7 linked regions of the Sus scrofa genome follow. The protein of the gene in region 1 interacts with the protein of each later gene in a pairwise test. Links are inferred from orthologs where the notes say so. Each region holds a gene or a part of one and is shown in the gene's direction. Other genes may lie near its edges. The genes, in order: PSMC5, RORC, THRB, NR1I3, TNNT1, VDR and RORA.

Evidence for each region.
Region 2: the proteins of PSMC5 (region 1) and RORC interact in binary tests that used the Homo sapiens proteins (3 or more experiments, as listed by UniProt). The link is inferred for Sus scrofa from reciprocal best matches to the Homo sapiens genes PSMC5 and RORC.
Region 3: the proteins of PSMC5 (region 1) and THRB interact in a two-hybrid assay, tested with the Homo sapiens proteins (3 studies listed by BioGRID). The link is inferred for Sus scrofa from reciprocal best matches to the Homo sapiens genes PSMC5 and THRB.
Region 4: the proteins of PSMC5 (region 1) and NR1I3 interact in a two-hybrid assay, tested with the Homo sapiens proteins (2 studies listed by BioGRID). The link is inferred for Sus scrofa from reciprocal best matches to the Homo sapiens genes PSMC5 and NR1I3.
Region 5: the proteins of PSMC5 (region 1) and TNNT1 interact in a two-hybrid assay, tested with the Homo sapiens proteins (2 studies listed by BioGRID and IntAct). The two-hybrid records come from large-scale screens. The link is inferred for Sus scrofa from reciprocal best matches to the Homo sapiens genes PSMC5 and TNNT1.
Region 6: the proteins of PSMC5 (region 1) and VDR interact in a two-hybrid assay, tested with the Homo sapiens proteins (2 studies listed by BioGRID). The link is inferred for Sus scrofa from reciprocal best matches to the Homo sapiens genes PSMC5 and VDR.
Region 7: the proteins of PSMC5 (region 1) and RORA interact in a two-hybrid assay, tested with the Homo sapiens proteins (3 studies listed by BioGRID and IntAct). The link is inferred for Sus scrofa from reciprocal best matches to the Homo sapiens genes PSMC5 and RORA.

What each region holds. Positions count from the first base shown.
Region 1 is NC_010454.4:15,103,527-15,107,759, reverse strand, and holds the start of PSMC5 (26S protease regulatory subunit 8), read left to right. Parts: upstream 1-1,433; 5' UTR 1,434-1,581; coding exon 1,582-1,605; exon of another isoform or gene 1,606-1,882; coding exon of another isoform or gene 1,883-1,894; exon of another isoform or gene 1,895-2,118; intron 2,119-2,124; coding exon 2,125-2,196; intron 2,197-2,988; exon of another isoform or gene 2,989-3,090; coding exon of another isoform or gene 3,091-3,189; coding exon 3,190-3,259; intron 3,260-3,688; coding exon 3,689-3,786; intron 3,787-3,946; coding exon 3,947-4,003; intron 4,004-4,083; coding exon 4,084-4,233. Other genes in the region: pre-rRNA processing protein FTSJ3, read right to left, coding at 148-227, 345-391, 670-775, 949-1,015.
Region 2 is NC_010446.5:97,373,673-97,377,900, forward strand, and holds the start of RORC (nuclear receptor ROR-gamma), read left to right. Parts: upstream 1-1,428; 5' UTR 1,429-1,476; coding exon 1,477-1,540; intron 1,541-2,882; exon of another isoform or gene 2,883-3,670; coding exon 3,671-3,700; intron 3,701-4,228. UniProt on the Homo sapiens protein: Nuclear receptor that binds DNA as a monomer to ROR response elements (RORE) containing a single core motif half-site 5'-AGGTCA-3' preceded by a short A-T-rich sequence.
Region 3 is NC_010455.5:10,994,418-10,997,917, reverse strand, and holds part of THRB (thyroid hormone receptor beta), read left to right. Parts: intron 1-2,720; coding exon 2,721-2,981; intron 2,982-3,500.
Region 4 is NC_010446.5:89,225,412-89,229,534, forward strand, and holds the start of NR1I3 (nuclear receptor subfamily 1 group I member 3), read left to right. Parts: upstream 1-1,323; 5' UTR 1,324-1,506; intron 1,507-1,661; 5' UTR 1,662-1,694; coding exon 1,695-1,801; intron 1,802-2,273; coding exon 2,274-2,404; intron 2,405-3,843; coding exon 3,844-4,013; intron 4,014-4,123. UniProt on the Homo sapiens protein: Binds and transactivates the retinoic acid response elements that control expression of the retinoic acid receptor beta 2 and alcohol dehydrogenase 3 genes.
Region 5 is NC_010448.4:59,360,811-59,364,943, reverse strand, and holds the start of TNNT1 (troponin T, slow skeletal muscle), read left to right. Parts: upstream 1-1,333; 5' UTR 1,334-1,338; coding exon 1,339-1,370; intron 1,371-1,479; coding exon 1,480-1,493; intron 1,494-1,736; coding exon 1,737-1,763; coding exon of another isoform or gene 1,764-1,808; exon of another isoform or gene 1,809-2,013; coding exon 2,014-2,046; exon of another isoform or gene 2,047-2,603; coding exon of another isoform or gene 2,604-2,817; coding exon 2,818-2,839; intron 2,840-4,133. UniProt on the Homo sapiens protein: Troponin T is the tropomyosin-binding subunit of troponin, the thin filament regulatory complex which confers calcium-sensitivity to striated muscle actomyosin ATPase activity.
Region 6 is NC_010447.5:78,207,478-78,210,977, reverse strand, and holds part of VDR (vitamin D3 receptor), read left to right. Parts: intron 1-598; coding exon 599-750; coding exon of another isoform or gene 751-904; coding exon 905-1,021; intron 1,022-2,528; coding exon 2,529-2,788; 3' UTR 2,789-3,500.
Region 7 is NC_010443.5:111,457,004-111,460,503, forward strand, and holds part of RORA (nuclear receptor ROR-alpha), read left to right. Parts: intron 1-740; coding exon 741-1,136; intron 1,137-3,500. UniProt on the Homo sapiens protein: Nuclear receptor that binds DNA as a monomer to ROR response elements (RORE) containing a single core motif half-site 5'-AGGTCA-3' preceded by a short A-T-rich sequence.

The sequences.
Region 1 (4,233 bases):
AGGCATGGTAAACAGGAAAAGCATGCCTTCAGAGGATCAGGGTAGGCTTGGATCTGATCCCTGGCCTGAGAACTTCCATATGCCGCAGATGCAGCCAAAAAAAAAAAAAAAAAAAAAAGAGAGAGAGAAAAGAGAAATCTCCATTACCTGCCTACAACGTTCTGTTGTGATATCCTCCTGGAGAGTCACCACATTGGGAAGAGGCTTGATTGGAACCAAGTCCACACCTGGAAGAAATCAGGGTGGAGTGTTCCCAAAGGTTGCCTTAAACAGGAGGAAGGGAATGCCGAACACAGCATGTCACACTCGCCATCCCCGAAACGCTTAAAAGAACTGTCACTCACCCACAATAAGGCTGGAGACAGGCATAAACTTGGCAGCCACCTGCAGCCTATAAAAAAGAAGTAAACACTGAAATAATTACCCTGGCTTGTCCCTTTCCCGCCGTCTCTGGCTCTCATCCCCAGTATTAGGAGCCCCTGCCGACTGCAGTGGCCAAACATATCTCATACATAACTTCCAAATATTTTTCCCTGAAATTTGTTTCGGAAGTAGAAAAATTTCAGATTGTTAGTCCTGTATCTCTCCTGCCCACAGTTAAACTCAGTCATCCATGGCGGGAATGCAGAAAGCTGCCACAAGAAGCAACAGGTGCCAGATATTACGCACCATCCACCTGGTGCAGCGCACAGGTCTAGCAAGGCTCGGGCTTTCTGCAGAAATTGAAAGCGGCGATTCAGCTGGATCAACTTGAAAGCAGAGCGGGAACGGTAACCTAGAAACAATGAAAAAAGAATAAAGTCCGCGAAAGCGCTTTCCCAGCGGGATTACGGTGGCCTCACAACCCACCACCTCTTCTGTGGAAGAGAAACCCAATGTTCGGGAAGGAGGCGAACAGGCAAAGATCGGTGGCTCTCTTGCTCTCAGACTGCGTAAACCATGACTCACCGGTCTCTTTCGCCAGGTGATAGAACTTGTCCCGCCGGCTCTTCCCTACTTTGCCCTTCTTGCCCATAGTGGAACTGGGGAGTGCCACTCAATCTGGAGAGAAAGCAGAAATCAGGACGTCTCCGCCCAGAATACTAGATTACGCTCTCCGCTCCCCACTCGTCTTCTCAAAGACACTCCGCACTCCGCTCCTAACACCACCCAGCTCCGTTTTCACTACCCCAGCAGCGGCACGTGTAAGCAGCAAACGTATTTCCGCTTCCGTGTGCGTCGGCTGCGTCCGCGGATCCAAGTTTTCCGCCATTTTGAGCGTGGCCACAAATTTTTCTTTAAGCTCTGTGTCCAGGTTTATAAACTAGATGTTTGCACCCGGAAGTAATATTACTTTAACCAAAACCTAGTTTCTTCGGAATAACATTTAGGAGCTCTGCGTCCTCTTTATCCCCTTCCAAAGCTCCTGACCTCGCGTGGCCCCGCCGCTTCAGGGCCCCTGTTATTTGCTTTGTTTGGGCGCACACCCCGCCCATTGACCCGGAACTGTTCTCTGCCCGGGAGTTCGGTCCCCCAAGCCCCGCTTCCGCGCCTGCGCACCAAAGCGGCTCTGATGCCGGGGGCCTCCGCGGAAGAGGGAAGATGGCGCTTGACGGGCCTGAGCAGGTATGGCGGCGGCTGCCGCGGCCAGACGGGGATCAGGGCTGGATGCGGAGCAGGTGTGATCCGAGGTGGGCAGCCGTCTGGGGCAAGAGCGTTGAGGCAATCAGGTGTGGATGGACCAATCCGGACCGGGCCCTGCCTGGGAACGGATCTGCTGTGTCAGCGCCTCCCCCGGCGGGTCAGGGCAGGGCCGGGAATGGAAGACCCGGTGGAAGCGGGATGAGTGAGCGAGTCGCCCGAGTCAGGGAACCCGTCCTTCTTGCTGGCTCCTCCTGTAGTAATGACCCTTCGGGTTTGTATGCCGTTGCCTTGTGTGTTCTCTCTTGCTCCTCCTGAAAGTCTTAAGGGGTGGACTTTTTTTCCCCTCTTTCTGTTTCCCCTCTTCTGTCACTGGGACACGAAGGGTTTTGAAGAGATGGAGTGAGGGATTAGAACCCAAGTCTTAGTCTCTGAAGTCCAAGCTGGAAGTAGCTTTATCCCTTGGGTGTTTAACCTGTTGTTTAATAATTAAACTGTCTTCAGATGGAGCTGGAAGAGGGGAAGGCAGGCAGTGGACTCCGCCAGTATTATCTGTCCAAGATTGAAGAACTCCAGGTAAGAGGTCCTGAGGGAGCTGGAAGGGCTTCGGTGAAGGATCGATGGAGCCGATTTCTAGAAAGCCGTATGATTCCACTGGGGCGCAGTGGAAGAAGCAAGAAGCCAAGGGTATGAATTATATCAAGTTAACAGTTTCTTCCTCAAGTCCCACCCTTTTGAAGATCATTAATATTCACAGTTTGTTACATATTTTCAGGAGTCAAATTTTCACATAAAAGTTAGCCCCGGCCAAAAATCATTCCTTTCAGAGGAAGCCTGAATGGTAGTTTCTTATAAAAGGGAAGATGTAGGTTCAGAAGATGGGATTTATTAGAGAGGGGTTGGGGCAGAGTGAGAGTGAGGGAAGACAAAATTGAGGAGTCTGAACAATGCTGGTTCCAGGGGGCCAAATGAAAAGGAACTAGCAACCCAGTATTACAGCCTAAAGAGGGAGCCAGATCATAGAAATGAGGAAAATATTGCAAATTAGATGGAGAGCCACAAGGAAAAATTCTCACTTCCAGGTACATTTGCAGGTTTCATATTTGGGTGGTCATTTTTGAAATGCTTTACCTGTGCTGCTTTCATTTGTTCCTCAAATTAACCCCGAAAAGAGGCCAGTAGGTGCACCACTTGCAGTTTGGTGAGAGATCTAGACCTTTTAAGTGGTTTTCATTAGCTTTACTCAGCTATTAACAGCCAGCAGTGGGGCTAGAACTTAGGCTTCTGACTCAAAGTTATCTTCTCTCTCTACCATGTTACTGCCCTGCAAGACACAGTGTAAGCCAGCTGTTGCCTCTTCTCCATTAGGGTTTGCTATTCCTGGACCAGTGTTAGACAAGAAGCTTTTTCCCTGTGGTTGTCCTACACTCCTGAGGAACTCTTGGATCACATTAGAGAATCTGAAATAACATGCGGGTGCCCAGTGCTCTTTCCTCACTCTGCTCCCATCAGCCTGTGAGGGTCATAACCTCCTACCACTGTCTGCCCTTTGCCTCTTGTCCTCCACAGCTGATTGTGAATGACAAGAGCCAGAATCTCCGCAGGCTGCAAGCACAGAGGAATGAGCTTAATGCAAAAGGTGAGGGGGAAGGATGGGAAGGCTGCACGCAGGCAGTGTGAGGTCCTCACACGGGTGCCTGTCGCTTTCTCATAGTTGTTCACGTGCACATCTCTCAAGCTCCCTTGTAACCTCCTTTAAAGATATGAATTTCGACTTGTAAAAAAAAAGTCTTATTCTAGTTGATTCACAGTGTTACTTCTGCTGTGCGGTAGTGTTGCAATTACACACATATATGTTCTTTTTCACATTCTTTTTGTTACGGTTTATTACAGGGTGTTGAACATAGTTCCTTGTGCTATGCAGTAGGACCTGTTTTGACTTTCTTTTTGAAACCTTCCTTTCAAAACTTCAAAACGGCACTTAGTTCATGCATGCTGAATCCTGAATCAAGTCGTGGGGGGAGACATCAAAGAATCTGGGTGACCACTATGTCTGTTTCCCATCTAGTTCGCCTGTTGCGAGAGGAGCTACAGCTACTGCAAGAACAGGGCTCCTATGTGGGGGAAGTAGTCCGGGCCATGGACAAGAAAAAAGTGTTGGTTAAGGTAAAGGCAGCATGAGCCCCGGGAGCAGCCCTTTGGTCGTGGCATTCCCATACCTACGTGTGTCGTGAAGGTTCTCCTGTCGTGCTATTGTGAGACTCGGGGGTCTCTCTGGGTGAGGCTCATGGCTGTCAGGGAAGCACACAAGCCTGTGTTTCTGTAGGTGCATCCCGAGGGCAAGTTTGTCGTAGACGTGGACAAGAACATCGACATCAATGATGTGAGTGCAGCAGGTGAGGTTGGGAGTTGGGGGGTCAGCTCTCACCATGCCCCATCCTAAAACTCTCTTCTCTCGCCCAGGTGACACCCAACTGCCGGGTGGCTCTCAGAAATGATAGCTACACTTTGCACAAGATCCTGCCCAACAAGGTAGATCCACTGGTGTCACTGATGATGGTGGAGAAAGTGCCAGATTCAACTTACGAGATGATTGGTGGACTGGACAAGCAG
Region 2 (4,228 bases), on another chromosome or scaffold:
ACTCCAAGCCTGCCCAAGGGGCTGAGCCCCCAAACAGACCAACATCCTGTTCTGTGCAGAGAAAGGTACACAGATGCGTGGGCCACCCATTTACCAAAAGGACACGGGGCTAATCAGAGGCTCAGAGGCACAGACACATGCCCTCAGACTCTCTCTCCGTACAAGAAGATCCCCACGAGTTTCCGTCCACTCTTCCCCACTCCCTACCCCTTTGTCAACCATCCTAGGAGGTGGAGAGTCCTTCTCTACCTCTGTCTCATAAGCTACAGCCCTTGGGAGAGTCTGGGAGCTACCCAGGAATGGAGGTGCTGGAGGTGCTCCGTGTGAAGTTCCAGGATGGGGTAAGAGTGGAGGATGGTGAGATGGGAGGGCAGGCGAGGAAAGGGACAGCTGCCTGCCCTCTCCACGCCAGGTGCCACGTGCACAAGGTTGGGGGGAGTGGGCTGCCGTCACGAGGCTGAGGCGTGGCTGGCTCCTGCTCTGCTGTTTACCAGCTGGGAGTGAGAGCAGGAGGAGGTGCCAGGGAGCCTCCCCACTGCAGCCTGGCCCCCGGCCAGCCGGCCTGTTGGGTAACCAGGAGAGCCAGGCCCAGCTAATCAAACTCTGGGCCGAGGCTGGGCAGGAGAATAGAAGCATCCAGGACTCACAGAAGCCTCATCCTGTGCCCCCTGCCCTGAAGAGCCCTGCTCAGTGATGGGGGATCGGGGTGCGGGGAGGTCTCCTTCCTGTACCTAGTGCAGTGTAGCACGTCTCCCATGGCTCCTGTGCCCCCAAAAACAACTCCAGGCCTGCCCCCGACCCCAAAAGACTGGGAGGATATGGAGGCATCAGGGAGCCAGGGAATTCTAGAGAAGGGCAGCAAATGGCAGAGGCTAAGCCGGCAGAGGCCTCAAGGAACCCAGAAACCACTGGGATGACTCTGACCTCATCCTGGAGAAGAGACCCCATCCCCCAGATAAACCATCCTATCTTCATCTCTCCCCTCCCCAACTCCCCTGATCTTATCACCTGTCTTGGTCAAGTAGAAAGCATATGATTCTAAAGTCAGCAAGACCTGTGTTCAATGCACAGCTCAGCCACTTATGGTCCTTATGCAAATGCTTGGGCAAGTCGGGACAATCTTTGACCATCACTTCACTTAGGAGCATCACCTAGTTATCTGGAGCAACTATGTTTGCCTCGTGGCGGATGCTGGGAGGATCGGAGAAAATCATAGATTTATACACAGCACACGTCCATCGATAAATGTGAGCACCCTTCCCGTCACCTACCCTGTTTCTCCCCAAGGCTTAAACTTTGTTCTTCCGGTGTCTCCTCTTGTCCCTTTCTGATGCCAAAACACTCTGCCAGCCACTCCTTTCCCCTGCCTGCTGCCGGGCCAGGTGCTCTGTCCCTCCCCCCTTCCCTCCCCTGGGCCCTGCTCCCTGCCCTCCTGGGCAGCCAGGGCAGCAAGGACGGCACCCAGGGAGTTGCCCCATGGACAGGGCCCCACAGAGACACCACCGAGCCTCGAGGGGTAAGAGGCCCTACGGCCCTGCAGGCAGGTGGCAGGGGCTGCCAGGAAGTTCAGGGGACAGGGAGAGGTGGGAAGAGACTGGTTGGGAAGTGAGGAGGTGGGGAGGAGCAAGAGGAGAGAGAAGGAGAGAGGGGTTGGCCGGCGAAGGCGGGACGGTGAGACAGGACAGGTCTCCATAGAAACGGAAGGAGAGACCGGAGGAGGAGAAACGCGAAGCGGGAGAAGCCGGAAGCACACGGAGGGGAAAGAAAGGGAGAAGCAAGGAGGGAAGGGACAGGTGGGATGGGGGAGGAGAGCCAAGTCGGGAAGCTGGAAGAAGGAAGCGCCGCACAGGGCCAGGCCCTGCCAAGTGTGAGCGCCCCCTGGGAGGAGGAGCGGGCACTGCTCCTTTGGCTGGGACCCGCTCTGGGCAGCAGTGGCTGGGAGGCTGGCCATCCACCTTCTGTTCATCCAGCAATGGAGGAAGCTGCCCTGCCTTTAAGGATGACAGAGGGTGGGGGAGAAAGCAATAGCACCCTGTCTGCTGCCCGTAACCCACGGGCCCAGCACTTTCCTCCCCGGTGTGGGGTTTCATTTCTGCAAAGAATGTGGGGCACCTGGCCAGGGGCAGCGGCGGACAGAGACTCGGGCGGACCTTGGCCCCACGGATGGTCTAACAGCCTCTCCCATGGCCACAAGCTCGGTCAGGTGTGAGCACTGAGGGGAAACGCTCCAGGGCCACCTGGCGGAGGAAGAACTCCACTGCCGGGGCCAAGAGGGGAGCGCTCCCACCCCAGGACTGCTCTGAGGTGCAAGGCTGGAGGCCAGAGAGACAGTGCCACGTCAGGGAGGAAGCTGGGTGGGGCCAGGCAGGATCAGCGGGGTGGGGGGAGGCGGGAGGGGCCGGATGGAGCCACTCCCTCCCTGGGCACCTCCCCCCACCCTACCCCAGCGGAGCCTGGGCCTTCAAGTCCAATCACCCCCACTCAGCCCAGTGGAGGAAGCTTGTTAGAGGGAGCATCTCTTGGGCAGAGGGACAGTGCGGGGTCGGGGGCAGAGGGGGGAGGTGTCAAGGATTGGACAAACGGAAGGAAAAAAATAACCGGAGAGCAGAGTCAGAAGTTAGAGAAACTTGGGGCATAAGGCAGGCCTGCAGCGTTTTCTGAAAGGAAAGACTAGCCCTGTGCTCTGTGAGGAGCTGCTGTATGGATGTGGGAAATGCACCAAGGTCTGGCCCTGGGGAGGCTTCTTCCCAGGGTCTTGGTAGGTGTTTAATAAAAGCTCACCATATGAATGAATGACACCGCCCCGCCCCCTGCAATGATACTCTAGCTAAGGCTTTCCCTCTGGCGGGCTATGCCTCCCTGCCCACCCCAGATCAACTCACCTAGCTCAGCACTGCCTGCTCTCCACCTGGACCAGCCACACACACCAACAGGAAGGGATTCCTTCCTCTGCAAGCTCATGGACCAGTGGAGCCAGAGCCTGTGGAAGGCCAAACGGAGTCCGTGCTTGAAGCTCTCCCTCTTCCTCTTAATAGCCTCACTAGCCTATTCTCCACCCCCACACCTCTGAAATTCCCAGGTGCCTTCAGGCACAAATAAGCAACCAAGAGATTTAACTCTGGCTGCAGAATACTGTGCACCTGTAATGGGGCGGGCACTACAGAATAACAATGTGAACGAGGCAGGCACAGTCCCTGCCTCCATGGGGCTTACTGTCTCACAGGAAAGCCCCGTTTCACAGGTAGTGACACAGCTATAGCGGTGAGATGATGTGGTGAGTGCCAGGAAATCAAATGCCTGATGCTGAGTAAATGCAAGGACAAGGGAGAAGGGCATGCTTACCTTCTCCAAGGAAAAGACATGATCGGGACGCTGGAGGATGAGAAGTTGGCTAGATGGACGAGGGGCCAGGGAGGGACATTCCGGGCAGGAGGAATAGTGTAGAGAAGCCCCAGAGTGGTGAGGAGCCTGCACTTTTGAGGACCTGGAAGAGTCCTTGGGTGACCATAGGGCCGAGAGTGAAGAGAGGGTGCAGTGGAGGGTGGTCCCACCTTCTCCTCAGATGCCGTTCTGCTGGGAAGGAATGAGGTGGGGTGGGGGCCTGGGCACTGGGGAGTCCACTATGGTCCTCGGCTTTTGACCCTGACCCCCCCCCCTTTTCTCCTTATAGAGCTGCTGGCTGCAAAGAAGACCCACACCTGTGAGTAGAGGATTGGGATAAGAGCTGGTGCTGGGGTCTGGGGAGAGGACAAAGAATTCAGCAAGGGCTCCAGCCAGCCCGTGCGGATGAATGGCTTGCGCCTTGCTAGGCGGAGATGGCTGAGATGAGGAAGGGAGAGGGAGGGCTGAAGAAACCTCAAGATCCAGGCAACAGAGGGAGACAGGAAGCCTGAAGAGTGCGGGGGAGGCGTTCCCGTTGTGGCACAGTGGTTAACGAATCCGACTAGGAACCATGAGGTTGCGGGTTCCATCCCTGGCCTTGCTCAGTGGGTTAAGGATCCGGCATTGCCGTGAGCTATGGTGTAGGTCGCAGATGTGGCTCGGATCTGGCTTTGCTGTGGCTCTGGCGTAGGGAAAAAAAAAAAAGAAGAGTGAGAGGGAACATCGCAAAGAATCAAGGAGAGAACAATGAAAGGGCGCCCAGGAGACGCAAGGGGGTGGGGCAGACCGCTGGGCCAGAGCAGGGGCAGATGGGGGAGGCAGGGTGACCTCAGGGGCTCAGGGAGCC
Region 3 (3,500 bases), on another chromosome or scaffold:
TCCAGCATCTCATCCATTGCTCCCTTCACTGGGGAGCAAGTGACTCCCCCTTTGGGCTGTATTTCTTCATTTCTGTTCAGGCAGAGGAATGAATATCAAATTTTAAGAATTTCCTCAGAAGTTTCCATCAGGGCACAGTGGAAATGAATCTGACTAGGAACCATGAGGTCGTGGGTTCGATCCCTGGCCTCTCTCAGTGGGTTAAGGATCTGGCATTGCCATGAGCTGTGGTGTAGGTCGCCGATGCAGTTCGGATCCTGCGTTGCTGTGGCTGTGATGTAGGCTGGCACTGGTAGCTCTGATTGGACCCCTAGCGTGGGAACCTCCATATGCCATGGGTGCAGCCCTAAAAAAAAGAAAAAAATTTTCCTCAGAAAAATCCAGTGTTGGAGGTTCTACAAAATACTGTGATAACTTCAGTATTACTTCAAATGGAGCGTTACACAGAGCAATTTACCAATGATTTAGAGTCCATGAAAATAGAGCAGACATCACAGAAACGGGCATGAGGAAGAAGGCTTCTCCCATCTGCGGAAAAAGGATGAAATTCTCTGAGCCCAGAGTTAACCCTTGCATTCAATGGCTTCATGTTTAGCTCATGAAAACCTTGAACCCTCACGGATAAATGAGCACAATCTCCAAGATCGTAATCTGTTGTTTTCTTTTCATGGAAAATGACAATACGTGCCTCTAGTGGCACCAGTTGCTGGCACGGTCAGGTCCACACCTCTTTGATTCACCATTGGAACAGTGCCAAATACACTGAGGACAAAGAACCCATGTCTTTTTAACTCACCTCACATGCAACGCTCGGCACAGCCCTTTGCATAGAGTGAATGTTCAGGGCTCCTCTCAGATTAAGATCAAATGTTCCATCCAAAAGCATTGTATGATTTTTTAATTATTTATCTTTGGCCACGCCAGTGGCATGTGGAAGTTCCAGGTCTGGGAGTCGAACCAGGGCCAGAGCAGCAACCCGAGCCACAGTAGTGACAAGGCTGAATCTTTAACCCACTGAGCCACCAGGGAACTCCTGTATGATTTTTTTTTAAGGCGATCATTGCTTTCTGGCCAAGTTTGGGTGTTTCAAGCTGCAGTTTTGCATTTATTGAAACAGAGAAAACACTCATTGATTATTGCTATATATGTATAGTTGTTTACAGTCTTCTCCTGTACTAGAAAGAAACTGTATGGGTCTTGGGGTTTCTACACAGTAACCCCAAGACCAGGAAAGGCAGATGCAGCTTCCAAAAGGGGCTGAGAGCACATGACACCTTTAGAGAAACCACCCTAACCAACATCCCTAAAGATGCCTGGCAGCTTCCAGAGGGGGCTTATGAAAACCTAAAGCATGTTTAACCCTTGCATTAATTAATTTAAAATTTATTTTAAATGTTTGCAAAGCAGCTTTAAACTCCCAGTACTCTGCACAGAGCAGGATGGACTTGAATCTCCACTGTGGATATTTACAGTTCTTTGGCCATTTCAGCATACAAGAAAATTCACTTACGAAGTACATAGCGTTTTAATCACTGCCTAGAATCACTTTAAATGTAGAACTCTATTCATGCTATATTTTTTTCACTTTGACAGACAGTAGCCTAAAACTTTCTAAAACTATGGATGACCAGATGGATTATGTTTTTTACTCTAAATGCATCTATGTATTATACTATATATAGTATATATAATGTGTATTGTACTATATAGTATAATATATAGTATATATATATATATATATATAAGCTTGCTCCATTTTACTCTCTACTTTATATCCTCGTTCCATAAAGATATTCAAGGAGGTAAATTTACCACCAGGGAAGGTTAGTACGAGAAGATTTGCATTATATTTTTATAGTTTTTCCCATTTTCTAGAGAGCAGAGCTGAAAGTCCCTATAAGTTGAATAGAGAAAACAAGGTAACATGCATAAGTCATTGTGCATGATTGGATGTAGTTCTGTGTGCTGTACAGTAGGACTCCATTACTTATCCATTCTTTTTTTTTTTTTTAACTGTCAGTGCATCCACCAAAGAGACCTGGGGTTTTTCCGTTCCATCGTTAGAGCTATTAGTTCACCCCACCACCCACCACTCTCTGATCTATTTGGGATGACGTTGAAACCATCAACAGAATTTCTCACTTCTCGTGGAAGATCCAGCCCTCTGAGTTAGGTTGTCAGGAGAGGAAGGTGACAAGGAGAACAGAGTTGTCACTCTTGCCGCCACGTGGCATGTCCCACTTACGGAACAGAGTGCCTCTCAGGTCAGCCCGTGATAACACCCAAGTCAAACCAGGCCGAATCCTGGACGTTTTATGTCCTAAGGATCTGAAAAGTGTTCATGGCCAGCCCTGACCCTCGAGACCTCAAATGGTCATCTAAGCAGTAACATCAGTTGATGTAAACTTGCTCCCGGGCCATTGTCTCTGGGAGCGGGCCTGGTGAAAGTGCAGCCTCCCCATGGAGAAGCCGATGCCTTTTTAGGCACCGAACATCAGGGGGGAGGTATTGATCTCTCCAACAGGCCATCCAGCAACGGTGGCTCCGTGCCCCAGGCTGACACACTCTGCATCTTGTCCCTGCTGTCCGAGGAGGGGTACGTGCACGCTGTCAGCGCCCCCTCCCCAAATCGAGAAACAACCTGCTTGCCGCAACTCTTCGTCTCATCCCAGTCTTGATAATGCCAACAGCGTGTCATCTCGTGTTTTTCAACCCTCCAGAAAATGGCCTTCCAGCCTGGGACAAGCCGAAGCATTGTCCAGACGGCGAGCAGGACTGGAAGCTAGTGGGGATGTCTGACGCCTGCCTGCAGAGGAAGACCTACCCTGAGAGGCGCAGCACGTTGAAAAATGAACAGTCGTCACCGCACCTCATCCAGGCCACCTGGACCAGCTCGATTCTCCATCTGGACCACGACGATGTGAATGATCAGAGTGTCCCCGGTGCCCAGACCTTCCAAACGGAAGAGAAGAAATGTAAAGGTAACCAGGTCTTGTTATTAAGCTGTATCCAGTGTTGCAGCCAGGTAAATCACTTGCTCTTGGCAGTGTGTTCTGGGTCTCCACTCATTCCATGGATGCTGTCTCTGTGCTTTCCCGGGCTGCTCTTCCAAAGTTTCTTTATCCCCAGATCCTCTTTGAAATGTAAATAAATAGGCAGGTTCCAAAGGAAAGCAGTTCACTTCTTTTGCAAGTTGGATTGGTGCCCTTGGGGAGAAGACATTTTTTATTTCTCTAATTAGCCGGAGAGTTGTTCGTTGGGCTTTAATTCTGTATTCAAACCTGAGTAGAAACAGACATTGCTATCGTTACATAACTACTTGCTTTGAAGTGTGTGCATGTGTGTCTGTGTGTGTGTGTCCACGTGTGCACGCGCGTACATGACTTTTCCCAATTGTGCCAGTAGCTAATGGGATCTCAGAGTCTACGTTTAACCTACATAGACAATTCATGTTCAAAAGAGAGGTTTGAAGTTGTTTTCTTTTACTCATTAAGTCCTGT
Region 4 (4,123 bases), on another chromosome or scaffold:
CAGGGACCGAACCCGCAACCTCATGGTTCCTAGTCGGATTCGTTAACCACTGCGCCACGACAGGAACTCCTAGAGGTCCATTCTTATTTAATCCTCAACCCTCCCTCATTAGAAAGTGGAACCTCTTCTCTCTCTCTCTCTCTCTCTTTTTTTTTTTTTTTCTGGATGAATAATGCTTTCTTTTCTATTTTTCTCTACAAACATTTAGAATTTATTTTTGGGGAGTTCCCATCATGGCTCAGCAGAAATGAATCCAACTAGGAACCATGAGGTTGTGTGTTCCATCCCTGGCCTCACTCAGTGGGTTAAGGATCTGGCATTGCTGTGAGCTGTGGTGTAGGTCGAAGATGTGGCTCAGGCCTGGTGTTGCTGTGGCTGTGGCATACGCTGGCAGCCGTATCTCCGATTGGACCCCTAGCCTGGGAACCTCCATATGCCACAGGTGCAGCCCTAAAAAGCCAAAACAAACAAACAAAAAGTATTTTGGAGGGGAGATTGCAAATTTTATTTATTTTTTAAAATAATTTTTATTATAGTTGATTTACAATGTTCTGTCAGTTTCTGCTGTACAGCAAAGTGACCCAGTTATACATTTATATACATTCTTTTTTCACATTATCCTTCATCATGTTCCATTGAAAGTGATTAGATATAGTTCCCTGTGCTATACTCTTCTAACTCTTTACATAAGACCTTAATTAGATCCCAGTCTCTCTCTCTCTCTCTCTGTCTCCCTCTCTCGTTTTTATAGGGCCACACCTGCGGCATATGGAGATTCCCAGGCTAGAGGTCAAATAGGAGCTACAGCTGCCGGCCTACACCACAGCCACAGCCATAGCAATGCCAGATCTGAGCCGAGTCTGGGACCTACACCTCAGCTCATGGCAACGAAGGATCTTTAACCCACTGAGCAAGGCCAGGAGTCGAACCCACATCCTCAAAGATACTAGTTAGGTTTGTTACCGCTAGGCACTATGGGAATTCCCTAGACCACAGTCTCTTTTGAAGAACTTTCCTTTGGGGGGTCTGTACACTTATTATGCCTATTCTTTTACTGTTGACATACTCTGTGTGAAAAAGCTCTCTCACCCTCTCTCCTCCCAGCTTGTCCAGAATCTATGCACAGAGGAGGCTGCAGACCTAGCCTGAAGCTCAGCAGTAGGGTTCGATAAGCAGAGCTTCTAATAAGTCATGAGGTCCCTGCTTATCAGGTTCTCTCCCCAGGTGCCAGCCTCCAGCACTGTGGGCATGCTGGGAACACCTCCCACCCAAGCCTTTGCCCTGGGTCCAGAGTCTGAGTCCTATCTAGGCACTCACTGAAAACAGCTGAAGGCCACAGAGGTAGAAGTTCCTTGTTTTCCAGGTACTAAAGGCTATAATCCCTAACTTTAAATACTGGAAGCTCCTGAGATCAAAGGGAAAGCAGGGTTACAGTGGGAGTACGTGGAGAGGAATCCAGCACCAGATTCTGTGGCCTGCAGGTGACGTGCTGCCTAAGAGGAACAGGTAGGAAATCTTTGGGGACCCAGAGACTAATAGCAATTAAGTGCAGATAACACAGGGGGTCAGGCCCAGAGCAGGTTTGGGAAGAGGATCTGCAGAAGCAGGAGAAGAAGGTCAACGGTGGCCCAGAGCTGACTGCTAACCCCTATCACTTTCAGGGGCCTGTGACCACCATCCCAACACCTGAAGCCATGGCCAGCGGGGAAGATGAGCCAAGGAACTGTGCTGTGTGCGGGGACCGAGCCACAGGCTATCACTTCCATGCCTTGACTTGTGAGGGCTGCAAGGGTTTCTTCAGGTGAGAACTTCCTCACCAACATAAACAGCCTCCCAAACTGCCTGCCAGGCAGCCGTCATGCCCTGGCATCTGCCTGAACTTGTCCAGCTGCCTCGCTCCTGCAACCTGGAGCCTAACTACCCTAGGGCTAGCAAGCTACCCATTGCCAACCGCAACACTGTATATAAAGGTAGCAAAATAACAGAGGGAAGGCCAAGTGCTGGTTCTATGGATGCAACCCCTTAGTCATGTGTACTTACTCTCTACAAAGCACCAGCTAGTACAGCATCAGCCAGGCTTTCCTGAATGACTCTGTGCCCCCCGTGGAAATGCTTGAGATGCACCGTATCCTCTCCACTCCTAGGGACCCTGGGGCACAGCTCAGATTAGCCCATGTCACCACCGATTCTTTTAGACCATGTCATTTCAGCCCTTCACATACCCACCTTACTCGCTGCCATCTCCGACCCTCACAACATCTCTGTCCTCACAGGCGAACAGTCAACAAAAGCACCAGTCTCATCTGCCCCTTTGCTGGAAGCTGTAAGGTCAATAAGGCCCAGAGGCGCCACTGCCCAGCCTGCAGGTTGCAGAAGTGCCTAGATGCTGGCATGAAGAAAGACAGTGAGTTGTTCCCTTACCATCTCAAGGACCCTCTATGTCTCTCCACTGGCTATGCTTTGCCCTTGTTCCTGTAGTGTCTTCTCCACACAGTGGGCAGAGTAAGCTTTTTGAAATAAGTCAATATCACCATTCTGCTCAAAACCTCCAAGGGTTCCTCATCTCTCTTATGGTCCATGATCTCATGGTCTAGCTCCTCCAAATCACCTCTCAGACTTTACTTCCTACCCTTCGCCCTGCTCAGTGCATCCCAGCTACACTGACTTCAATGCTGCTCTCAGACACTCCAAGCACACGCTCCTTGGCCCTGTTGTAACTTACACTTGTACTTACTGTCACCTCTACCCGGAGTGCTCTTCCACTAGATATTCATCAGGCTTGCTTTTTCTCTTCTGTCTCTCAAGTGCCTGTCACTTAGTAGGTTCTTGATAATTGTTGAATTATTTAATGTTTCCTCTCTGGGCCAGATAATTACGCTCTGCCCCCAAAAGATAATGCAACTTGTAATCAACTCAAGTGACCATAGTCAACTTGCCCAAGTCCACTCAGCTGAAAAGGTGTAGTCAGGATTCACCAGATCCTTGCTTTCTCCACAACATCACATTATTTTTCTTCTTTTCTTTTTTTTATATTGATTTTTTTTTCTTTTTTCTTTTTTTTTTTTTTTTTTTTTTTTTTGCTTTTTGTGGCCACACCTGAGGCATATGGAAGTTCCCAGGCTTGGGACTGAATTAGAGCTGCAGCTGCTGGCCTACACCACAGCCACAGCAACGCCAGATCCTTAACCCACTGAGCGAGGCCAGGGATTGAACCTGCATCCTCAGGGCTACCAGTCAGGTTTGCAACCCACTGAGTCACAGTGGGAACTCCCTATATTACTTTTCAATATGAAGCAGTGGAAAGGAAACCGTGGCAGTCAAAACATCTTTAATTCAGTCTATATCAATAAGTATTCTGTGACTCTGGACCTGTCCCTGAAATGTCAGCCTGTTTACATTTCTGAAAAATATGGATAATAACACCTGCCTTCTCTACTCATAGGCAGGCTGGTTTCATTCAGTGAGATTTAACCTCAGAACCTCTGAAATTATAAGGTGCACCTTATGCAAACATAAGGTGATGTTTTTGGTATCAAGAGCCCTCCCACTTCAGTGTTCCCCCAGAAGCCAAACATCTTACACTTTACTCTCTACACTTCCTTTCCCTCCCACAGTGCACCGTTTTCTGCTGCAGTGCCTCACAGGTTGGGGAAAGTGGACAGGAGCTCCCTACCACCTGGAGGCTCTGGGACTTCAAGCAGGCCTCAGGAGCCCTCAGGAACTCTCCTCCCTCCCTGTGTCCTTCGTTGTGCAGAGCGTCCGAGAGCCCTGGACTACGGGCTGACAGAAAAAGGTGCTCTCTGCTGGTCTCAATAACTTTGTCACATCTCTCCCCGGGCACAGTGATCCTATCAGCAGAAGTCCTGGCATTGCGGCGAGCAAGACAGGTTCAGCGCCGGGCACAGCAAGCATCACTGCAGCTGAGTAAGGAGCAGAAGGCGTTAGTCCAGATACTCCTGGGGGCCCATACCCGCCATATGGGCACTATGTTTGATCAGTTTGTGCAGTTCAGGGTAAGCACTTACAGGATACCAGCTGGGCTGTGACCTAAGGGAGAGGGCTGCGTGCCATGCACCAATCAGAGGACAGGACTTCTCCAGAACCCCAGCTGAGGCAGACTCCT
Region 5 (4,133 bases), on another chromosome or scaffold:
CTATTCCAATAAAATTAAATAATAATTCAAGAAGGAGTAAGAAAAGAAATTGGGAACCTCTGGGCTCGGCTGGCAGACAGTCTGGGTGTCAGGACCAGGGTGCGGGCAGTGCCTCAGAATCTGGAGGTTTAGGAATTGAGGTCTCAGGATCTGAAATCTTATGATTGGAGGTATTAGAATTTGTGGAGTCATATTTTGGGGTATCAGGAATCGGGCCCCTGAGTCTGGGCATCCAGGTTTTGGGGTCTCATAAGCTTAAGGTTCCCAAATTTAAGGATTCAAGACTGAGGGGGTCAAGGTTTTAGGGTGGCCAGGCCCATAATCTGGAGTATCAACAGTTGGGGTGTCAGAATCCGGAGATATGAGGACTTAGCCATCTTCAGAATTCCTAAATTGGGATCTGTGGGTATTAAGATTTGGGGACCTCAGATTTGGGGGAGTCTTAGTATTTAGGGGTCAGGATGAGGTCTGGGGACAGAAGCTGCTCTTGTGTGTCCTGTCCCCTCCACAGCTGTGGGTGAAGGTGACTGATAACCAGCCAAAGGGGAGGGGACAAGGGTGGCAGAGGGGAGTGGGTATGATGAATTCTCCCAGAACCCCTCCTCCTAGAATACTTTTTAGATGTCCTCTGTGTCACCCTCCACGACATCCCCCCAAAATAGCCCTTGGGGGTGGGGCAGCTATTGTCTTCAGGCCACTGTGTCTTCCCCAAATACCTTCCCCTAATCCCTCCTCAGATCAGGTTCCAAAGGACTTGTCATAAGACAAAAGAGGGCAGCTGTGGTGAGGGGGTGGGGCCTGTGGCTTTGGGGTTGGTGGGGCCATACCTTCCCAAGCCCTGTCTTCATCCGCGGTTTAGGAATCTTTGGGAGTTGAGGGCCCCCAGCTCCTCCTCCCCCAGACCCAGGGGTCCTGTCCCAGCCCCTTCTCCCTCAGACCCAGGGGTCCTGCCCCAGCCCCTTCTCCCTCAGACCCAGGGGTCCTGCCCCAGCCCCTTCTCCCTCAGACCCAGGGGTCCAGCCCCCAGCTCCTCCTCCCTCAGACCCGGGGGTCCAGCCCCAGGCCCCCGGCCTCAGACCCAGGATCCAGCCCCCAGCTCCTCCTCCCTTGGACCCAGGGGTCCAGGTCCCAGCCCCTCCTCCCTCAGACCCTGGAGTCCTGCCCCAGCCCCTCCTCCTCCAGACCCAGGGGTCCAGCCCCAGCCCCCCCCCCCCCCGTCAGACCCAGGATCCAGCCCCCAGCCCCTCGTCCCTCAGACCCGGGCGTCGGGACCCCAGGTCGGGGATCCCGAGTCCCTCGTTTGGACCCCCGTTCTCTGCCTCTCTAGGTCACGCCAGGATGTCTGACGCCGAAGAGCAGGAATATGAGGAGTGAGTGATGCTGGCGGGAGGGCTGGGGGCTCGGAGCGGGGGAGACCCCCTCCGCCTCCGAGGCGCCTAACTCTCCCCCTCCCTCTTTTCTCCCCGCCCGGGTCCTCAGGGAGCAGCCTGAAGGTGAGTGCACTTCGGCCCACCCCGCCCGACCGGCCCGACGCCCATCCTCCTGGGAGGGAAAAGCCCATCGTGCCCGGCGGCCGCTGAGGCTGACGGGTCCCCCCCCCCGCCCCGCCCAGCTGAGACTCGAGCCCGAACCTGGGTCTCTGCCCCCTCACCCACTGGGTCCCCTCTCTGAAAGCCCTTCCACCCCGGGTCCCCCTGGGCCCCTAACCCCTCTTCTCTCTCCCCGACCCCTTCCAGAAGAGGAGGCTGCTGAGGAGGAGGAAGGTGAGGCCCCGGACTCCGCAGGTCTGGAGCTGGACGCAGGTCTGGGGGGGTGGGGGACAGGCGGGTGGGTGGGGGGCCCGCTGGTCCAGGGGTGCAGGCCGGGCGGGGCGCGGGGCTTTCGGGGTTCTCGGCCTCAGTTCCTTTAACAGCCTCTCCCCTCTCTCCCCTCTCTCCCCCCCTGCATCCGGGCCTGGCCGCTCCCCTCCCCTGGCTCCCCAAACCCTCGCTTCTCCTCCTGCCCCCTCCCCAGCCCCCGAGGAGCCAGAGCCGGTGGCAGAGCGAGGTAACCGCGGCTGCTTCGCTTCCTGAGACCAATTGCGGGGTGTCCTCTGGGCCCTGACCTCCACGAGAACTCCCTCCCCGCCCCCATAACCCGCCCCGGACCCGGTCCTTTAAGCCCCGGAGAGCCCGCGCGCCCTCTGGTGGCCACGAAGGGAAATAGCCTCGCAGCGGCTTTAACCCGTTCCCTTCCTTCTTAAAGGGACCGACACCCAAGCCTTCTTCCCCAGACTGGAGGAATACTTATAGAAGGGTTGGATGTTTGCGGAGAGGCACCCCTCCTCCCCTCTCATCTTCGCCTGTTATTTTTCTCCCCCATATACATTCAAAGGTTGGGGCCTGGGTTGCAGAAGGGGGTAGCAGTGGGGGTCTGGATTCCTGTGTCCCCAAGGGGGAGGTGGCTGGGGACACAACTCCAGGGTCCCCGAGTGAACAGAGGGCTTGGGGAGGAGGGCAGGAGCTCTGGGTCTGCAGAAGGAGGGTGGGGGGTTTGGAAGCCTGGTTTCCCAGCGAAGCGAGTGGAGGGGGGGAATCCCCACACCGGTTCTGAATGTATATCTGATGCGTGTGACCCCTCCCTCCCTTTACGGCCACCCCGATTTCCCTTCTCCTCTTTTACCCCCGCCATACCCCTCCCCCAGGGCTGCAGGACAAGGGAACTGGGCCTGGGGACCAAGTCTTGGGGGGGCGAGGAGGGCCCACCTTTGGGTGTGTCGCGTCCTCCCACGCCCACAAACTCTTGCTAATTGTGTCTTTGTATCCCCCCCCCCAACAGAAGAGGAGCGCCCCAAGCCAAGGTGAGATCCTAGGGCTGGGGGTGGGGTCTCTTAGATCTAGCCCCTGCCTTCAGAGACAGGGTGCAAAAAAAGACGGGAGGAGGAGTTCCCGTCGTGGCGCAGTGGTTAATGAATCCGACTAGGAACCATGAGGTGGCAGGTTCCATCCCTGGCCTTGCTCCGTGGGTTAAGGATCCGGCATTGCCGTGAGCTGTGGTGTAGGTCGCAGACACGGCTCGGACCCCGCGTTGCTGTGGCTGTGGTGTAGGCCGGTGGCTACAGCTCCGATTGGACCCCTAGCCTGGGAACCTCCATAGGCCGCAGGAGCAGCCCTAGAAAAGGCAAAAGACAAAAAAGAAAAAAAAAAAAAAAAAAAAAAAGACAGAGGAGAGGGGGAGGGACACCTACGAAAGGACAGTGATTCTGTCCTTCAGCAAACATTTCTGGTGAACTTCCCATGGTATTTGATGAGTCAGAGTGTGGCTGCCCTGCTGGTGAAGCAGACCCAGATACAAAGATGGTAGCACAGAAGAGGCCCTAGCTATGCCCGGTGGCAGTCATGGAGGGCTTCCTGGGGGAGGTGCTGCCCTGAGTCCTGGGAGTTTGCTAATTGAAGGAGGTGGGAGAGATTGTAGTCGAGGAAGCAATGCAGAAGGTGCAAGGTCCAGCGGCCAGATCTCGGCCAGTCTTTGAGGATCCAAGCTCTGCAGACAGGTGGAGGCCAGGCTGTGAGAGCTCCTTGGGAGAGGGAGAGGAGACCTGGAGGTGGGGACCTTGGGGCCAGAGATTGGTGTTGCAATCTGAGCATGAGATGCAGTGGACAGTGGAGTTTCACCACGGCTTGAGGGATGAGGAGGCAGAGTCAGATGGGAGTGAGGACACAGCTGGGCTGCAGCATCAGGAAAGCTCGTTGGAGGCAGGAAGGCCTCAGGTGCGGAGAATGTCAGGCGAAGGCCATTGCAAGCTGAGCACACAGCATGTGCAAAGGCCCGGGGGCGTGAAGCCATGTGGCATGGCCAGAGAACTGTAGAATTTGGTGAGTTTTCAGGGAAGAAGGCCTAAGCCTGGGCAGGGGGCAGGGGGTGGAAAGGGGGCCACAGACGGAGAGATTTCCAGGTTGGGGAGCTCAGCTGGGGCATGGAGCCATCCGTTACCTGGAGTCTGGAGATTGGGAGAGAGTCTGAGCTGGAGACCAGTGTTGGTGAATCCTCAGTAATTGAGGAGAATCCAAGTCACAGATGAATGATATTAATCACTAGCATTTCCTACAAATGAATCAGAGGGTAAAACTCTCACCAGGGGACAAGGAGACAGC
Region 6 (3,500 bases), on another chromosome or scaffold:
CCACGACGGGAACTCCTCTACCATGTTTTGCAGACCACCTTAGTCATGCCGTGGCCCTGAGAGCTTCCTCAAGCTCTCTCTTCATAACCCCAGAAGAGCTGTGGCTGCTTAGACCTGGGACACCCCAAAAAGTCACTGAGTAGCTGAGCTGATCCAGCTGGCATTTGGTCACAGTCTTGAGTTGTTCGCAAGTTGTTCTCCCTCAAGAAACAAGTCTTCTTCTTTCCAACCAGGCTGCAAGCTCCTCAGTGGAGGAGCTGGGCCCATGCTGGGCACCTGGCAGGTGTATACCTGTCAAAACACTGCACTAATTTACATGACTTGAAGGTCTCGGCGTCCCATTGTGGTTCAGTGGGTTAAGAACCTGACTAGAATCCATAAGGATGCAGGATCGATTCCTGGCCTCGCTCAGTGGGTTAAGGATCTGGCATTGCTGTGGCAGTGGTGAGGGCTGGCAGCGGCAGCTCCCATCCGACCCCTAGCCCGGGAACTTCCATATGCCACAGGTGCAGCCCTAAAAAGAACCAAAAGGAGAGAGAGAGAGAGAAGGTGCTGCCCAGTAAAGGAACCTGACCTCCACCTCTCCCCTCCCTGGCAGGGACCTCACCGCTGAGGACCAGATCGTGCTGCTGAAGTCAAGTGCCATCGAGGTCATCATGCTGCGCTCCAACCAGTCCTTCACCATGGACGACATGTCCTGGACCTGTGGCAGCCGGGACTACAAGTACCAAGTCAGCGACGTGGCCAAAGGTGCGTCTGGGCTCTGCCTCCGCCTGCCCCAGCTCCACCCCTCCTGGGGTCCAGGGCCCCACCAGGCACATCCGAGGGAGCAATGTCAGGCTGGATGTGGGGTGCGGGGGGCGTCCTGTGGGTGCCCACAGCAGCTGGCCATCCTCTCTCGCAGCCGGACACAGCCTGGAGCTGATCGAGCCCCTCATCAAGTTCCAGGTGGGGCTGAAGAAGCTGAACCTGCACGAGGAGGAGCACGTGCTGCTCATGGCCATCTGCATCGTCTCCCCAGGTACTCGCAGTGAGGACGTGGGACCTGGGATGTGGGGAGCGTGCAGGTGAAGCCCCACTGAAGACCAGCGGGAAGTTTGGAGGGAGGAGTGAGCAAAAGGAGAGAACGACAGGGAAACCTGGCTTTTGCTGGGTTTGCACAGCCAGGGTGGTGTGTGTATGTTGAGGGTTCCCTCACTGCCCTTGGCCTTGGCCTTTCCCTAGTGAAACCATTGCTGGTTCATGGGAGGGATTTTGAGGAGCCAGATAGATGGAGTTTCTTTTTTTCTTTCTTTCTTTCTCTTTCTTTCTTTTCTGTGTGTGTGTGTATGTGTGTGTGTGTGTGTGTCTTTTGTCTTTTCAGGGCCACACCTTCAGCATATGGAGGTTCCCAGGCTAGGGGTCGAATCAGAGCTATAGCTGCCGGCCTACACCACAGCCACAGCAACACAGGATCCTTAAGCCCCTAAGCAAGACCAGGGATCGAACCCGCAACCTCATGGTTACTCGTCAGATTCATTTCCACTGCACCACAAAGGGAACTCCTAGATGGAGTGTCTCAGGCCACAGACAGGCCTGTGTGAACTGGACTGACCTCCCTGACCCTTGAGGTCCCCTGAGGTCAGGGCACAAAACCCTGGGGCCCAATAGATGTTCTGCTGGCTGGACATCTGGCCTGATGGACAGTTGAGCTGACTGATTTTGGAGGCGGGATGCCGTCAGTCTTGAGCTCTTCTGCCTGTTTGGGGTGGAAAGAGGGAGACAGGCTGAGGAGGAGGGTCTTGTGGTCCCGGGGACTCTAGACACTGGTGAGGCCTCCCCCTGGACTGTGTTTGGGGAACAAACTAGTGGCTGCCATCCAGGGATGCTTTCCTGGGCTGGGGCCCGAGGGAAGGACCTGGGCACCCTCCTCCCGCCCAGTGAGCCCTCCCCAACTCATCCATTCATTTGTTCCCTCGGCAGTGATTTACTGGGCTCCTGTCAGGTACCAGGCACTGTGCTGGGCATAGAGACTCAGCAGCAAACAGGACGCAGACCTCTCCCACCAAGTGTAGGAGGAGACATCAAACACACGCCATTGTACAGCCAGTTCCTAGGAGTTCCCACTGTGGCTCAGCGGGTTAAGAACCTGACATAGTGTCCATGAGGATGCAGGTGTGAGCCTTGGCCTCGGTCAGTGGGTTAAGGATCCAGCGTTGTCGTGAGCTGTGGTGTAGAACCAGTGTTGCTGAGGCTGTGGTGCGGGCCAGCAGCTGCAGCTCTGATTTGACCCCTAGCCTGGGAACTTTCAGGCATGGCCTGAAAAAGCAAAAAAAATTTAAAAAAAAAAAAAAAAAAGGCAATAGAGAGTGGTTGAGATGTTGGGGAGGACTCTGGTGTCGCAGGTCAGCAGCCATCAGGAGTGATGGATGGATTCGGAGGTTAGGTGTCCATCTATGTGGGCTGAGGCATGAGGGGAGTGGATCGAACAGGGAGGGGCCCAGCTCAGATCTCCTGTGCCACCCCCACCCCACCCTCTCTGCCCACAGACCGTCCCGGGGTGCAGGACCCCACGCTGATCGAGGCCATCCAGGACCGCCTGTCCAACACGCTGCAGACCTACATCCGCTGCCGCCACCCGCCCCCGGGCAGCCACCTGCTCTACGCCAAGATGATCCAGAAGCTGGCCGACCTGCGTAGCCTGAACGAGGAGCACTCCAAGCAGTACCGCTGCCTCTCCTTCCAGCCCGAGTGCAGCATGAAGCTCACACCCCTTGTGCTTGAGGTGTTTGGCAACGAGATCTCCTGACTAGGGCAGCCTGCGGTGGCACCCGGCCGGGGCTGCCTCTCTGGGGCCCTGCGCCCAGGCCTGGGGTGGGCGTCTGGCCAGCAGCCCTCCCCACCCCCTCTGGAGTTCAGCCCCTCCTCTGCCACCTCCCCTCCCCGCCTGGCCCATCCTCTCTCCTGCCACAGGCTGCTCCCACTCCCACGAGACCTCCGTTATGAGGAGTTGCTGTTTATTTGACAGAGAAACTCAAGTGGGGGCAGAGGGCAGAGGCTGAGGACCCGGGGACGCCCCCGCTGCTCCAGAAGCGGCTGCTGGTGATGCCGAGGGAAAAGGCAGGCAGGAGAAATAGCCCCTTCCTCAGGGACAGAGACACCCGTACCTCCACCCCACTCCAGGCCCCCGTGTCCAGAGCCTGGTGGGATCTTCCTTCTTCCGCCTCATCCACGGCACGTACTGACCCACAGCCCCACCTCATCCTGCTGCCAGTCTGCGCTGTTCCGTCCCCAGGCAGCGAGCCACCAGGGGGCCTTGGCCCTCTGCCTGTCCAGGACACTCACTGCCAAGGATGACCAAAACCAGGGTGACGAAGGTCACAAATCCATCTCTGCTGCCCAAAGGGCACATGCCTAAGCCCTCCGTGCCCACCTTCCTCTCATCCCTATGGTAACGTTGTCCCCGGAAGGAGCTGTGGTAAGACAGGCTGCCTCCCCACGGCTGGGGACACTGGCCCAGA
Region 7 (3,500 bases), on another chromosome or scaffold:
ATTCTCCCAGCAGGGATCTTCCAGTGTCTGCCCTTTCCAAAATTCTGATATTCTTTTCACTTGGGGCTAAACAAGTATACCAAAAATCATCCTTAAAGAGGGGTCCAAGGGTTTCACACAGACCTGAGGCATGGCCCAGGAGTGGGGTGGGGGAGACTCAGAGATGTAACTCAGAGAACTGCAAACACTTCATCCAGTCAGTTAAACTTTTTCAAGGAGGCCCCAGATTTGGTTGTTCGATCAGAAAGAAACTCATGCCACTGTACGGATTAGTGAAATTAATGCAAGATGAGGTTTGACTGCTTGTGACTCATTGTACCTCCATGAGTCTCTGCATCCCTGTGCACTGATCTGAACACCGTGAAGAGACAGAGGAGGTGGTCTAGGCCAGCTGCCTAGGTAGAGGGGGAATGAGCCCATTAAGTCTCATTTCAGTGGCTCCCACTGAGCGCAGGGTCATGTGACAGCACCAAGACCCTGGTCATTGCTCTGGGTTTCGTCTATCAGCCTTGGGTCTGTTTCTGAAATAGCCTCTCTGGGCTGTGTCTTTGCTGTTTGGGATGTGGCATGAGCCTGTGTGGGGCAGGACTGTTTTCACCCCTGGACCGTGTCCTTGTTTTGCGGCCCTTTGGTTTTGGATTGAGAGTGTCTGAGATTTCAAAGGAACTCCTAAAGCATGGCAGAGAGGAGAATGGAGAAAAGCGTATTGTATATGGTGTGGTGTGGCTTTTTTCTTCCAGCTGTAAAGTTTGGCCGCATGTCGAAAAAGCAGAGAGACAGCTTGTATGCAGAAGTACAGAAACACCGAATGCAGCAGCAGCAGCGCGACCACCAACAGCAGCCTGGAGAGGCTGAGCCGCTGACTCCCACCTACAACATCTCGGCCAATGGGCTGACGGAACTTCACGATGACCTCAGCAACTACATTGACGGCCACACCCCTGAGGGCAGCAAGGCAGACTCTGCCGTCAGCAGCTTCTACCTGGACATACAGCCTTCCCCGGACCAGTCAGGTCTTGATATCAATGGAATCAAACCAGAACCAATATGTGACTACACACCAGCATCAGGCTTCTTTCCCTACTGCTCTTTCACCAATGGAGAGACTTCCCCAACTGTGTCCATGGCAGAATTAGGTAACGGCTTCCATGTTTCCATTGGGATATATTCCTTGTGCCCATCAGAGTAAATGGGATATGTTTGACTTTCCGCTAAGGAGTTATGTTATTAAAATAATGCATCTAGGAGTTCCTGTCGTGGTGCAGCAGAAATGAATCTGACTAGGAACCATGAGGTTGCAGGTTTGATCCCTGGCCTTGCTCAGTGGGTTAAGGATCTGGTGTTGCCGTGAGTTGTGGTGTAGGTCGCAGACATGGCTTGGATCCATCGTTGCTGTGGCTGTGGTGTAGGCCAGTAGCTGTAGCTCTGATTCAACCCCTAGCCTGGAAACCTCCATATGCAGTGGGTGTGGCCCTAAAAAGCAAAAAATAAAATAAAATGAAATAGAAAAGTATCTAAAAAAATAAATAAATACCATAAAATGATGCATCTAGCAGGACAATTCAGCTTTACCTTTTGGACCACTTCGTAATTCCAGCCTGGCCCCTTGCTCTTTGCCTGTCCGCTGTTTCCCATTGTATATCCAAGAAGTTCATTGACCTCTCAGCGTCAAAGCTGGGACAAGATGAACTTAAAGCCATCTTTAAATTCCACCAAAAAATGTCTAAGCTCAGGGAATGGCCCCATTAACTTCACCTCTTTAAGTTATATTCTAGGTATTGCTTTATATACCAAAAGTCATGGAATGGCAACCCACAGACTCAAGCTGGTCCAAAGACATATTTCTCTGAGCTTTACAATTTTTGAACTGGTTGCTAAAGTACAGAGCTTTACAATTTTTAAATTGGTTGCTAAAGTTTTAAACCTGGACGCCTCCACCAGAAAGTTCAGATGTTCCGTTTCTTGTGGGAGGAAAGAAGAATGATCTGGTTACACTGGAGCAGTATTTGTGAATGGCAGCAACCAGCTGGTACCAGTTAGGTCCTAACCTTTTAAATGAACCCATCCCGCTGTCCCCATTTAGATCACTCCTCAGGCCCTGTTAGCATCTACGTTTTTCAACTCTGATGTGTTCCCTAAACTTTCAAGGAAAGTTGGCTTATTTGCCAAAATGTTTTCGTGATGTATATTAATGATGAAACAGATGTATGTCATGGAAGATCCACCTTGCCCCCCAAAACAAAACAAAACAAAACCCAACAACCCTGTCATTTCCTTATTCCTGTGACATTGGTGCTTCTCTGGAGATGTGACCTAGAAATGTTAACACAGACAATGGAAAACTTTTCATTTCAAGGAAGTTGTGTTAACATCCTCTGTTATATTTAATCGATTTTTAAGTGCAGCACTATTATTAGAGAAACTTTGATAAGGACCTTGGCTGTTTGAGAATTTGATCTGCTCCTCCCCATGATTCCTCATACAAGGTTATACTCCTTTGGGATATTTCAATTAGTTGCTGTGAAGATGACTAAGTTAAGACGAGGAGAGAATGGAGACTTCAGATGGAAAAGAACCAGCAGGTTCTGACTTGAGCACAGACACTCTTAGTTCACAGAGAGAACAGTTGTGTTCTTTAGATGGTTTCTCCACCTCTGTACCCCATAAAACATTTTTAAGTGAAATTTATATTTCCAGTAAAATCTTTCTCCAAATAGAACAAATTGAATGTTCTTTACGGTTTTTACACAAGCACCTCTTTATGGGTCTAAATTTAAATCCTCAAGAGCAGGGACATTTTAAGCCTGGTCTTTAACCACTGAACAGCATTAAAGGTGTATCACAGCTCTTTTGATTAACAGAGAAACCTCTGAACTAGAAGCCAAGCTGAGCAGAGGTGGGTTTGATTTTTTTTTTTTTTTTTTCTTGAACTAGAACAAAAACCTTCCGTTTTGGTCGTGAAATCTTGGTTGGCTAAGCCTTAAGCAGGGCTGTAATGAAAGTAAAATTTTCAGAAATGAATAAGGATATGATTGAAAGTTGACAGGCACTTGTGAAAAATGACCTGGCTCACTTTAGGCTTGCTTCTACTTTATCATAACTACTAGTGAATCTGCCTGTTTGCTTGTCATATGTTCAACCCAAAATAAACCCACACTGCTTGACCTAAGTGTGGCCCTTGAACATGGCACTTGGGCTGAATGTGTGCTGATTCCTGAGTGGAGCCAGAAATGGCTCAGCTTCTCCTTTCCCAGCAAACCTGTCAACTCCTGGAGGGTGTGGGGCCCTGTGCCCACATCTATTCTACATGTTCTCTTCAATTAGGGATTTTTCACATGTATTATGGCATTTTCCAGGATGAATAAAATTAACTGTTACTAAGATTTGTCCCAAACCCAAAACTAAAGAAGAATTTATCTGAAAAGGATGTAACAGGACTCTAATTTTCTGTCCCTTTTGCACGTGGAGGATAGTTTGAGGAGCTAAGAGTAGCATCAAAG